3 linked regions of the Cricetulus griseus genome follow. The protein of the gene in region 1 interacts with the protein of each later gene in a pairwise test. Links are inferred from orthologs where the notes say so. Each region holds a gene or a part of one and is shown in the gene's direction. Other genes may lie near its edges.

Region 1 (3,610 bases):
AGCACTAGATGGATAGTGAAAGCTGTGTTCTGGCAGCAGAGAAACTGACGGTATTCAGCATCTGGGGATTGCAATCCTGTTTTAAAATTGATATTATAATTGTGTGGAATCCTTCGAATACCCAGCTGGGTGACTGTGGCAGGGTTAGATACCCAATTAGGTTACTAAAATCTCAAGTTACTTGGCCATATTTGTCAGCTTAACACTGCCAGTTCCTCTGCCTGCTGACCATCCTGCTGCCTTTGCAGCTCCCATTTCCTTGTTTAGGATTCGATGAGACCTACCTTTAGACATTTATTCTCTTCCAAGTGTTTACATGAGAAGCACACTAGAACTCACTAAATTCTATGTCTGTCAGTAATGCAAAATATGACTAGCTACTTGGCAATCATTAATTAAACCCAATGTTTTCAAATTAGTTTGAATTCTGCTGTTAGGATTATTCTGTGTATTGTTTTGTTTTGTTTTTTGCTTTGTTTTTCTTTTTGAGACAGGGTCTCATATGTAGTCCTGGCTGGCCTGGAACTCACTATGGAGAACAGTCTGGCCTCAAATCAGATTTGCCTGCCTCAGATTTATGAGTGCTGGGATTGAAGGTGTCTACCACCATGCCCGGTTGATTCTGTGCAATTTTTAAATGAACTGCTAAGAAGAAATCTTTCTAATGAGATAGATACATTTGCCTACTTACTGGTTTTATATTACTGAATTCTTCATGACCAGTGCTTTTTCCTATTATCATTATTATTAATTATTATTATTATTATTATTATTTGTTGTTGTTGTTGTTGTTGTTTTTCAAGATAGGGTTTCTCTTTGTAGCTTTGGCTGTCCTAGAACTCACTCTGTAAACCATGATAGCCTCGAACTCAGAGATGTATCTGCCTCTGCCTCTGCCTCTGCCTCTGCCTCTGCCTCTGCCTCTGCCTCTGCCTCTGCCTCCTACTGCTGGGATTAAAGGTGTCCGCCACCACTACCCGGCTCCAATTAGTATTATTTAAAATGCTACCCTTTTGAATTAAGGTTCTAAAATGTCAGTGGCACAGCTTACGTCATGTACCAGAATTTGTATATTACCCATTGATCATCATCTGGTGGGAAGCATTACTGATCAAATACTGGATTGCATTATAAGCATGGCAGGCCCAATTTCTGGAATTGTTGGTAGAATCTAAAATGGGAAAAAGGAGACAAACAGCCTTGGTTTACACCCTTTGGGGAAACCTTTTCCTAGCTGTAGCATTTAACATATTCCCTCCCTGTACCTTCTGCTGCTCTTCACCTTCCTGCTAACCAAGGGCTCTCCCTGTGAGCTCTGTCTGCCCTCTGCCTCTCGAAGTGATGGTTATTACACAAAGGTACTTTAGGTTTTCTTAGAGGTAAACTGTTTTCAGTATTCAATGAAGAAAAAAAGAAACTAGGAGAATGGAATTGAGGTGGGAAGGTTCTTGTTTGGTTTGGTGTTTTGGGGTGTTGTGGGTTTTTTTTGCTTGTTTTTTAATTTTCATATATGACTGCATATATGTTATATGCACATACAAGCTTACATGTGTGTGTGGAACTGGTGACGGGACCAAGTCTGACATTGGCAATCTCTCTCAGCCATTCTCCAGCTTATTTACTGAGGCAGGATTTTGCAGTTGAAGCCAGGACTAACAGATTCAGCTTGACTAGCTAGCCAGCATGCTCTATGGGTCCCCTTTGTTAGTCTTCTGAGGATGCTGAAATTATAAGCTACCCCACCCAACCAGCATTTACATGGATCCTGGGGACCCAAATGCTGGTCCTCACACATTACAGCCAGCACTTTACTGTTTAGCCATCTCCACAGCCCTCACATGTGTATTCTTAAAAAGCAAGTATCTTCTTTAAATAATTTGTGCAGTGATTTGGATGAAAAATTGTCCTGGCCTATTTTCTGAGCCATCTTTTTCTGATCTATGGATGAAATAAATTGTCATTACTCTTCAGAATTCAAATCAAGAGGGACCTTCAATTCTTATAGCTTTTTTTTTTTAAAGAATGAAAAAGGCATTTATTGTCAATCTGAAATATGTATAAGAGGGTGTGTGTGTGTTTAGATAGTATCTCACTATGCATCCCTGACTGGCCTCGAACTCATAGAGATCCTCCTGCCTCTGCCTCCCAAGTGCTGGGATTAAAGACGTGGGATACCATGGTTAGCTGAATAGAGATATTCATGAAATATAAAATCTTAGCATTATTTTCAGCTCTAAATTGTACAGCATTTGGTATTTCTGAGTCAAACATGATACACACCTGAAATTCCAATACTTTGGGGTCAGAGGCAGGAGGATTATCCACAAGTTTGAGGAGTTCTGGAACAGTCAGGGCTACCTACTGAGACCCTGTTTCAAAAAGCAAAAACAAACAAAAGATATCCCCTTGCTGGGGTAAGCTGGTGTGGACAGCGTGGTTTTGCTGGTAACAGTCTGGCCTTTGTGATGGCAGAATGGAACATTCGGGAGTGGCATATGGTTTTCAGAAAATCTTCCTTGGTGATAAGTACAGAGTTTTACTTTGGCCCACTGTATGTGAATGAGTGAGGAGCTGGAAGAACTCTTTATCCCATCCCCTAAGAGCAAAGCTGGTACTTGTGTAAGCCCTAGCTGTGCGAAACTGATTTAGTCAGGGATTCTATCTTTCCCTCCCAGAAAGTCCAGGACTGGGGGGGGGGGAGAGAGAAGAAAACCTGAGAGACTCTATGCATATTTATAAATCTGATAATTTATCTTGACCCATATGGGCAGGCAGCCTTGAGCACTGTACCTTTAGCTCCTGTTCTTTCTTCTAGAAGATCCTTTCCTGGCTCTCATAAAGGATCCGCTAGAAATTCAAGGTAGTGAGAGGATAAGATCGCCAACATTGGTTTCTTTCTGGATTGTCTTGTGTGGTTGATAGGATCCGTACTTTGTCAGGGTAAGACAGCAAATGTTGCATGGCTAACAGTGGCTAGAGCAAGTAGAATCTTTTGGGTGTTCTTTTGTGATTCTCCCTGCCCTGTAGTACATATAATTCTTTCTCAGACTTCATAAGAACTCCTCAGCAGTTGAGTGTAAAGTCAGAATGGTGGCTCATAAGCAGGTCACCCTCGCCCAAAGAAAACACTCCCAGGTCACAACATACAACCCTGTTAAAGCAACAGCTGTGGACAGACTGGAGCGCCTGGACATGACTGTTCATATAAATTTGGCTCAATACCCCCCACTTCATCACTTAGTATCTTATAGGGAAAAAACAGTCCTGATGCAATTACTAACATCTCTCTTTTTTTTTTTTCTCTTTAGATCAAAAAATATTTTGAACTTGAACCACTTGCACGTGGAAAACGCTGGATTCTGCAGCCCTGTTCGCTAGATGACATGAACGCACTGAAAGACAGCTTCTCCCAGCTCATAAACTTGTTAGAAGAAAAAGACCTGGAGGCAGTGAGAATGTGAAATTTGACACAAAAGTTCCCCCAAAGCCTTGAACCCATCATGTTAGTTTCCCATTCTAATTTCATGTTGGTGTCAAGGTTGTCATGGCTTCAGTATGTTTTCCTCTCGCTGTTTCAGACTTTCATCTCTCTGTTAAAATGACTGTTCTG
Region 2 (4,166 bases), about 110 Mb from region 1:
AGTGACACATATCTTTCACTTAACTCAGTACCTTAAACCCCCCAAAAAAAAATTTTAAAAAGGTTTGCTGAATCACTTGAAAGGAAAAAAATGGGTGGGTGCTCAAATGGATATGGTGGCAACAGAAATAGGAAGATGGCCTAGGGAAAGACATAGCCATCTTTAAAGAAACAGAGGTTAAAATAACTTTACCTACTTTCTGGAAAAAAATCATATTAAATGTCAACTTGAATGACAAAAAAAGCAAATCAAAATAGCAAGACCTATTAGACTGAGGATATCACACTATCACACCATAGTTCTGTTCAGGAAATCCACCAAATAAATGCTTACCTATTCTCTAGGTGTTTCAACACTAGTTGGGAAAACTGTCATTAAAAAGAAAAACAATCACATTGTCATGCTGCTAAAAATATCGCCTCCCTAGCTAGGGTAGTGCAAAGCGAATACATTGCAGGTCAGTAGACTTAAAGCCAAATTCTGTCTCAACTTGCTGTGATCTGTGGCCAGTCTATGCCTCTCCGGTCCTCAATTTCCTCATATTTAAAAACTAAAGATAAAAGTGATTGGGCTGGCAAATTCTTTTAAGTCTTCCTATACTGACATTGGGTATACAATCCTTAGCTCTCCCAGCCCGAAGCTGAAACACAACATAAACCCTGCAAAACACATAAAACTGCACTCCAGGCTAATAAATTAGTACTATTTGAGGAAGTCATTTTGTTCTATTATCTTTCAAGGCTTAATCCGTGGTTTTGTTAGTTGTTTGCAGTCTTACCATGGTTTGCAGACTTCTGAGTTCCGTGTAAACAGAAGTTAACTGTCGGCGGGCTGTCATGTCTCCAGGGAGAATGAGGACCTTCCCGCCGGGTTTCAAGTAACGGGATTCAGAAACGAATCCTACAGAAGGATTCCAAATTTGCGCACCCTGCGCGGCACACTGGAGCCCAAGTTAGAAAGACGGAGCGCAGATTGTGCTGGGATTTGTAGTCCCTGGCTTCTAAGTGGCGAGCTGGGATTCCGTACTCCCTGGGAGCCTGGGAAATGTAGTTTCTGCCACTTTGCACAGAGCAGCCTGCCATAGTCTCAGACCGCAAGTGTGCCCGGCGACGGGAGCAGGCTCCTCAAACCTCTGAAGATTTCCAGCCACTGCTCTCCGCTGGGACAAACTCCAGGCAACAACACGAATGAAAATTCTGTCCTCCGGGACTCCTCCTGGAGGGCCTTTCCCACTGACGCTCTCTGTCCCCGAGCGAAGCCGCTGAGCGTTGCCATTGGCTGCTCGGAATGCCAATCGTCAAGGCTGGCTTGCCATTGGTTTCAGGGCGGGAGCTCCTCGACTAGAGGGAAGGAGAAGGGATCAGGAGCGGGAGCTGAGGGGAGGGAGAGGCCGGTTCGGGTCTGGCCGCTACCGCTGCTCGCCTGAGGTGTCCGGCCCGGCAGCAGCTCCGTCCTCAGTTCCTGGGTACCGTCAGCGAGGCCCCGCCGAGCCAGCGTGGGAGGGCCGCAGGCGGCAGGCGCCGCATCATGTCAGCCAAGGACGAGCGGGCCAGGGATATCCTGAGAGGCTTCAAACTGTATCCGCCCGGGAGCAGGGGCGGGGCCGGGAGGACTTGGGAGGAGGCCGGGGCTTGCAGGAGCCGGGCAGTGGCGGGGCGCCAGGTGGGCACCGGGAAGAAGGGCTGTGAGCGGGGGCTGGAAAGGAACGGCGTGCCGGGCCCCCGGGAGGGACCGCGAACGGGAGGCGGGCACAGGGACGCCCTGAGGGAGGAAGGGGACGTTGACGGAGCCTCAGGGGACGGAACCGGAGGAGCCCCGGGACTGGCTGCCAGAGTTGTAGGCATCAAAAGCCGGTGTCCTGTGGGGCTGGTCCGGACCAGAAGGCTGGGGAGGCGGGGGTCGTGGTCCGCAGGTTGAGGCCGAGGGGGTGCGTCGGGCTGGCCTCCTAACCTGCTTTGGAGCATCTTTGGCGGGAAGCCCATGAGGGAGCAGGGGAAAGTGACTCCAAGCAAGTGACCTTGTGTGAGATAACTGGACATGTTCTTGGGTACCTCATCTCACTCCACCACCAACACCCGTCTTGTTTCCACAACTTCTCTTCCTCACTTGTGGCTTCTTGTAGGGCTGGAGTAGTGGGAAGGTGGGGAAAGAGAAATATAAGACCAACCCCACCTTAACACTTTCTTGGCCTTTGAGGCATTGGATGGTCCCTTTTCTCCTCAGCCTCTCAAGTTATCTTTCCAGCATGATCGTGTGTGTGAGAGATGTCTTGAGGTACTTTGGTTTTGAACTGACTCCTAGCAAAACTATCTTTGTTCCTTGGCATTGCTTCGGTTAATGCTTTATCACAGGGGAGCTGTTCACAGTTAACTTCTGTTGAGGACACCATGTCATATAAGAAATCATTGCCTCGGTGGACTTGGTGCCCAATGCCTGTTTTCCCAGTACTTGGGAGATAGAAGCAGGAGGATCAGAAATTCAGGTCATCCTCGGCTTCATAGTTCGAGGCCAGCCTGAGTTCCTGAAGACCCTCCTTCAAAAAGGAAGAAAAGTGAGGAGGCAGAGAAAATAAACAATTACCTCAGGCCTGTTGTAGTTGTAGTGCGACATTTGCAACCTCTGTATATAGTAAGAAAGGTTTGCAGTGTTTGTTTCGTTTTGGAGACAGGGTCACAGTGTGTAACTTGGCTGACCCAGAACTCTGTGTGTAGACCGGGCTAGCCTCAAGTAGCGATCCACCTGCCTCTGTCTCCGAAGTGCTAGGATTCAGAGTGTGGGCCAGCACCTCCGACTAGAAGCTCTGTATTTTGGTGGAATATTTGCCACCATAAAATGCAAATAGAGTGTATTGTAGTTTTGCCTTCTGCTGACCTTGATCTCTGCTTACATTCCTTCCATCAGTATGGAATACTCATAAGTTCCTCCCTCCGTGCAGTGTACCCATCTCTTACTGAGCCCCTTCTTCCATGAAGGGTTAGGAAGCACTGTTCTCTGAGCAACCTGTTGCATCTTCACAGGACCTGTTTCACCTCTTCCAGGATTTAATTGCTTTGTCATAGTTAGAAACCAAGGATGGTCGGGCATGGTGGCGAATGCTTTTAATCCCAGCACTTGGGAAGCAGAGGCAGGCAGATTTCTGTGAGTTCAAGGCCAACCTGGTCTACAAAGAGAGTTACAGGAAGACAGATGGGCTACACAGAAAAACCATATCTCAGAAAAAAAGGGGGGGAACCAAGGGTGATAGTAAAATTTAGAAAGCTTGGCAAGGCATGATAGATCATACTTATAATTCCCACACTTGGTGACTGGAGCAGGAAATTGTCATGAATTCAAGACCAGTCTAAGCTACAGAATGAGAGACCCTAAGACCAAAAAAAGAAAAAGGACCATAACAAACAAACAAAAAAAAAACCCCACATGTCTAAGAGTGGTGGGGGAGTGGACTGGAAGTATAAACAAGGTCTTGGGTTTCTGTAGCACCAGGGAGAGAAAAGCAACACAGGAAGTTCTATGTGCAAAAATGAAAACACTTCAAGTGCAAAACTAATCTTCTGAGGTTTTGATGGTTTGGTCTTAAGGGCAAGCAAGCCGAGTGTATGAGAAGAAAAGAAACCGTTCCCTGTGGCTGGGAGGGGACTGGAAAATGAGTTGCCCTGCTATGCTGTTTAAAAACAGAAGGCCTTACATATTGCCATTCATGATAAATGCTCAATGATTTTAGATCATGAAGTTTAGTAACAGACCCTTTTATAGTTCCATGGATGTTTCTGTTTGTCTTTATAATAGGGCCCATAAGCAGATGTGGATAGCTGAAGTGTAGAAAAGCTATATAGCATGCTGCCACTACCACCACACCCCACTCAGACTTCTGCTTTCATTTTTTTAAAAGATAATTTTATGTTAGAAACAACTTGACCACTGGCCTCCCTTTGTTGGATTTTTTTTTTCTGAACTGTTTTCAGATTGTTTCTGGAAAAGTTTTTGTGCTTACCACTTATCTTACTTTTCTGTTGCTGTGATGAGACACTGAACAATGGAACTTAGAGAAAAAGTATTGGGACTTACAGTTTCAGAGGGTTAGAGGCTACAGGTAAGTAGGCGTGGTAGAGCTGACATCTGATCCCCAAATATTAGGCAGAGAAAGATAACTGGGAACGTTGAAAGTT
Region 3 (4,363 bases), on another chromosome or scaffold:
CACCTCTTGTATTTCCCTGATGACCAGAAATTTGCTATCTATATCCCACTTTTCCTGCCTATGGCTGTGCCCATCCTCCTGTCTCTGGTCAAGATCTTTCTGGAAACTCACAAGTCCTGGAAAAAGCCTGAGAAGGTAGACTGAGCTGGGTGGCATGTCAGAGGTAGACTTCTTGTCTGGCCAAGCTAGGAGTGTTGGGCCAAGACACCAAAGTGAGGTTTGATGGTTTGTCTTCATTCTTCTCTGTTGGCTCTCCACCAACCAAAGGATGATGCTCAACGATGGACTCATCCTCCCTTCCCTCCCTATCCCACTGGCTTGAACTTAAAGGCCTTTGCCTGTCTACCCCTGGGCAGTGGCACCTTGTCCTTCCAGCCTGTCAGCACAGCATACTATGGCACTGAGGGGTCGATTTAGGGGAAATCCTTGGGTTAAATTGTAGCCCCCTCCTCTCCACTTCTAAGACTTTCTCCCTCCTTCCTCTCCTTCCTGACTGGTATCACCCATTGGGTACAGCCTAGCCTGGTCTAGGAGGCAGTGGCTTAGGAACTGGTTCCCCTCTACCCTTTCAGAGAGGCAGTGTGGTATAGGAGGAAACACTTCTGACTTAGAATCCAATAGGCCTGGATTGGACCCCTGCTGCACTGAGGTACTGGAGAGCTTTAGATAAGCAGCGCTTCTCACTGAGCCACAGGTTTTCATCTGTCGGAAAGCATTAATGACGTCACTCTCAGAAGGGCATTGGATTAAATGTGATAAGCATATAAAAGTGTTGTGTATATTGGGCTCTTTAAAAATATGTATTAGGTTGTTAATAAACATTGGTTGAATATGAGTTGATATGACATATCATTATTTTCACTCATGTGTGAGAAGCAGTCTGATCTGCCCTGAGCTCACAGGTCTTCCATGTCCCACCTGACTGTGGAGTCTGGGAATGGCTAGACACCTGGGCTGTGATATTTGCATGTTGTAGGGTGCCTAAAGCTGTGAATATATGCTTCTGCTTTTGAGCAGGAATTCTAGGGAGGAATAGCTTGAGCCAGTGACAGCCCTGGGATATTAACTCATCAGTTCAACAAAGGGAAATCCTGGGTACTGGCTGCCAGGAGCACTGTGCTAGCACTGGGATGTTATAGAGAACAGAGTATAGAGTATGGTTGCTTTCATAGATCTGACCTTTGAGGAGCAAAGGTCAGGGCACAAATACAAATAATTTTGCCTAATGCATTAGAAAAAAAAACAACAGGCTGGTTAGCTGGAAACTGAGAGGAAGTACTTTAGAACTGGGTGGGTGTGGGAGGTTGAGACTTGAACTGGAATCAGTTCAAGGATGGAGCTATCAGGGAAAGACCTTGAGGCTGGAACCCAGAGAGAAAGAGAGGTATTCAGTATACCTTACATTGTCCAAAAGAACCGTGAAGTTCAAGAGGACCCCAGGATCCTGACTCTACCGGAGGGGGTGGGGGGGGCGGAGGGGGGGAGATGCCAGTCGGTGGGCGGGGCATGCATGACGCGCCCGCTATGGGCGTGGACAAGGCGGGACGGCACCTGGGGCCCGACCGGGGGTGGGGCGGCGGACTCTTCCCCCTTCCCCCGACTCCAGCCAGCTCAGGCAGCAGACGCGGTAGCAGCAGGCGAGGATCCGCCGCCCCGCGAGGCCATGAAGGTGAAGAAGGGCGGCGGCGGGACCGGGACGGGGGCGGAGCCCGCTCCAGGGGCCTCGAACCGGAGTGTGGAACCCACGCGGGAGCCTAGGGCAGAATCCGAGTCCGGGTCCGAGTCGGAGCCAGAACCAGGCCCGGGGCCCAGGGTGGGACCGCTGCAGGGCAAGCAGCCCATCGGGCCGGACGACGTGCTGGGGCTGCAGCGGATTACGGGCGGTGAGCACCGGCAAGGGAGCGCCACCCGCGGGCTGGAGGGAGAGCTCGGGAGGGGGCCCACGAGGCTCAGAGTCCGGCCCCCGCGCTCACCCTTCCCCCACGCAGTGCCCCTCCTCTGTGTCCCTTTACTCTCCCTTTGCCTCCAAGCCTGAGATTTCTGTTATTTTCCTTGGTGTCTTGGTGCGCCCCTCCTCTACATGTAGTAGGGCTTATTTTCACCTCCCTCCTTCCTTTTCAAGGGGCCCACCCCTTTTCCCATGGTAGAGGTGGGGCAGCAGTTGCATCTGAACCCTTTCCCCTGTGGACTCTTTGAAGCTGGTCACAGAGGAGTGTGCCGGACTGGCAGTCTCTTAAGCACCTATCCTCTGGCGAGGTGGAGTCGAGGAATACCTCCAGGGTCCCTCACCCTGCTTCCCCATTAGGGCTAGCGCCATACTCTTCCCAGGAACGTTACTGATCGGGTGCTTCAGTCTGTTGGCTTGTGGGCTGTGTCATGGAAACAAGTGTGTGATCCCAAGCCTGGACTGGCTGGTACTTGTTTTTTTAACCAGGGCTCTCTCATCAATGGAAGCCCATTTTCCACTGGAGCTGTTTCCAAGCTGTGCTGCCTGGACTAGAGTCCCACTTTTGCCCCATAATTGGTTGTGTGACCTTGGGGATGTAATTTCATTTCCAGAGGCATGTTTTTTCATCTGTAAAATGGGAACAATGTTACCTCCCTCAAGGTTATTGTGAAATAAAGCCTGTCTCCTGCTTTTCGACAATGCTTGGCATGCTATGCATGCTATGTCAACAGGGCTTTTTTATCAACACAGGACTTGGTTCAGAGCAGCTGTCTGCAGGCAGATAAGTGAGCATTCAGGGCAGAGGCAGGCGTCACTACAGATGGTGAACAGGACTAGAGAGTCTTCTGGCAGAAGGTTGGCTGAGCCTTGAGGAATGGAAGGTATTTGGAGAGAAAGTGGCACACTGCCTTGGAATGGGTGGGTCACCAGCAACCTGCTCCAGCTCCCTTTGTGAGCTAGCAGTCCCTTTCTATGGGATGGACACAAGTGCTAGAGTGGAACCTAAAGCCTGGATGGATCTGCAGGAGCAGCAGAGCTGAGGGCTCCCAGACAGCTGTGGAGACCAGGATGGCAGGCCTGAGCTTGTGCATCTGGGTCCCTAGGGGCCTCCCTCCTCCGTTCAGAGCTAGGCAGCAGCGGCAGATTCTTGGCTAGACCTCCCTTGGACAAGCAGGCATCAGTGGAGGGGGGAGGGGCCTGGACCAGGCTGGTGTGGAAGCCAGTGGGCTGCATTTTGTAACAGCAGCCCATACAGTTCAATTTAGCCCTATGGGTGGGGGGCAGGATCACCTGCCTCACTCCTGGATAACTGAAGGCTTATTTTGCAACGAAGGAAGCCTCCAGGTGAAGTCACAGCATGGGTCTCCCAGTCTGGAGGGAATTCATAGCTTGTAGAGGTTGAGCAAGGACAAGTGCCTTGTGAGAGCCCTTTCCTGTGTGGGATTTGAAAACAGGGTTCCAGGCCTCTCCACCTTGCCTGCTATCTTCTGACCCTAATCACATAGGTCTGAGGTTTGCTGTTCCTGGATTACCAGGCCCTGAATCCGGCTTAGGGAGCTATTTGTGGCTACAGGGAGAGCAATTGGCTTCTGAGCCATTACTCTGGACTGACCTTGGGTCCTAGGCCTCTTGTTTTGCAGAGGGGAGAGAGTGGCTGCAGTGTCCTGAGCCCTAGGCAGCCCCTGACCCTCACTCCCTGCTAGGGCAGAGGGGCTGACAGATTGAGTTTTCAGTGTAAGAGACTAAGGTCTGGGTGTGAGAAGTTGTTCCCAGGGAGAGGAGAGGCTCCCAAGCTGGACACAGGGTAAAAAGGGAGGTTTTTCCTGGGAGTTGGGCAGCTAGGATCCTGCTTCCAGGTTCTGCCCACCCTCCCTTCCCTCTGCAGCATCTTCTATAGCTGTGGGGCAGACCTTACTGAGCTGTGATGGATAGGTCAGAGCTCAGCACCCTCTAAAATTTTATATAGTTTCTGCCAAGCTCCAAGGTGCTAGAGGGCTGTCAGGAGGGCTTCCTGGAGGGGGCTGCCCTAGGGAAGAGAGAATGACTTTGTATTCACTTCCTCTTCCAACCACAAGAGGAATAGGAGGTGGCCCAGGGGTGACTTCCGGCCTCTGTAGGTCAGCAGGGAGGATGTGGTACCTTAACAGCACCCAAGCCTCCCTAGCATTTTCTGCTCCTTCCTGTTTCTTGCCAGGGCTTCCCCTAGGACTTGCTATTGCTGCCATGAGAACAGTAAGTTGTATGAAGCAGGAAGAACAGGAGTTCAAGGCTAGCATCTGCCACCTAGTGGGTTTGAGGGTTAGCCTAGGCTACATGAGACCCCCGGCTTAGGAATAGCAACAACTGAAGAGAGGTTAGGGTCAGACCATGAACTCCCTAGGCAATGCCTAGCTTTCCTGGTTTCCTTCTGAGCCC

What was found.
Region 2: the proteins of Arl15 (region 1) and Pde6d interact in binary tests that used the Homo sapiens proteins (3 or more experiments, as listed by UniProt). The link is inferred for Cricetulus griseus from reciprocal best matches to the Homo sapiens genes ARL15 and PDE6D.
Region 3: the proteins of Arl15 (region 1) and Unc119 interact in binary tests that used the Homo sapiens proteins (3 or more experiments, as listed by UniProt). The link is inferred for Cricetulus griseus from reciprocal best matches to the Homo sapiens genes ARL15 and UNC119.

Annotation. Positions count from the first base shown.
Region 1 is NC_048595.1:331,975,140-331,978,749, forward strand, and holds part of Arl15 (ADP-ribosylation factor-like protein 15), read left to right. Parts: intron 1-3,308; coding exon 3,309-3,461; 3' UTR 3,462-3,610.
Region 2 is NC_048595.1:438,252,406-438,256,571, reverse strand, and holds the start of Pde6d (retinal rod rhodopsin-sensitive cGMP 3',5'-cyclic phosphodiesterase subunit delta), read left to right. Parts: upstream 1-1,359; 5' UTR 1,360-1,527; coding exon 1,528-1,577; intron 1,578-4,166. UniProt on the Homo sapiens protein: Promotes the release of prenylated target proteins from cellular membranes. Modulates the activity of prenylated or palmitoylated Ras family members by regulating their subcellular location.
Region 3 is NC_048600.1:91,729,161-91,733,523, forward strand, and holds the start of Unc119 (protein unc-119 homolog A), read left to right. Parts: upstream 1-1,549; 5' UTR 1,550-1,663; coding exon 1,664-1,883; intron 1,884-2,698; exon of another isoform or gene 2,699-2,822; coding exon of another isoform or gene 2,823-2,829; intron 2,830-4,363. Other genes in the region: Pigs (GPI transamidase component PIG-S), read left to right, coding at 1-144. UniProt on the Homo sapiens protein: Involved in synaptic functions in photoreceptor cells, the signal transduction in immune cells as a Src family kinase activator, endosome recycling, the uptake of bacteria and endocytosis, protein trafficking in sensory neurons and as lipid-binding chaperone with specificity for a diverse subset of myristoylated proteins.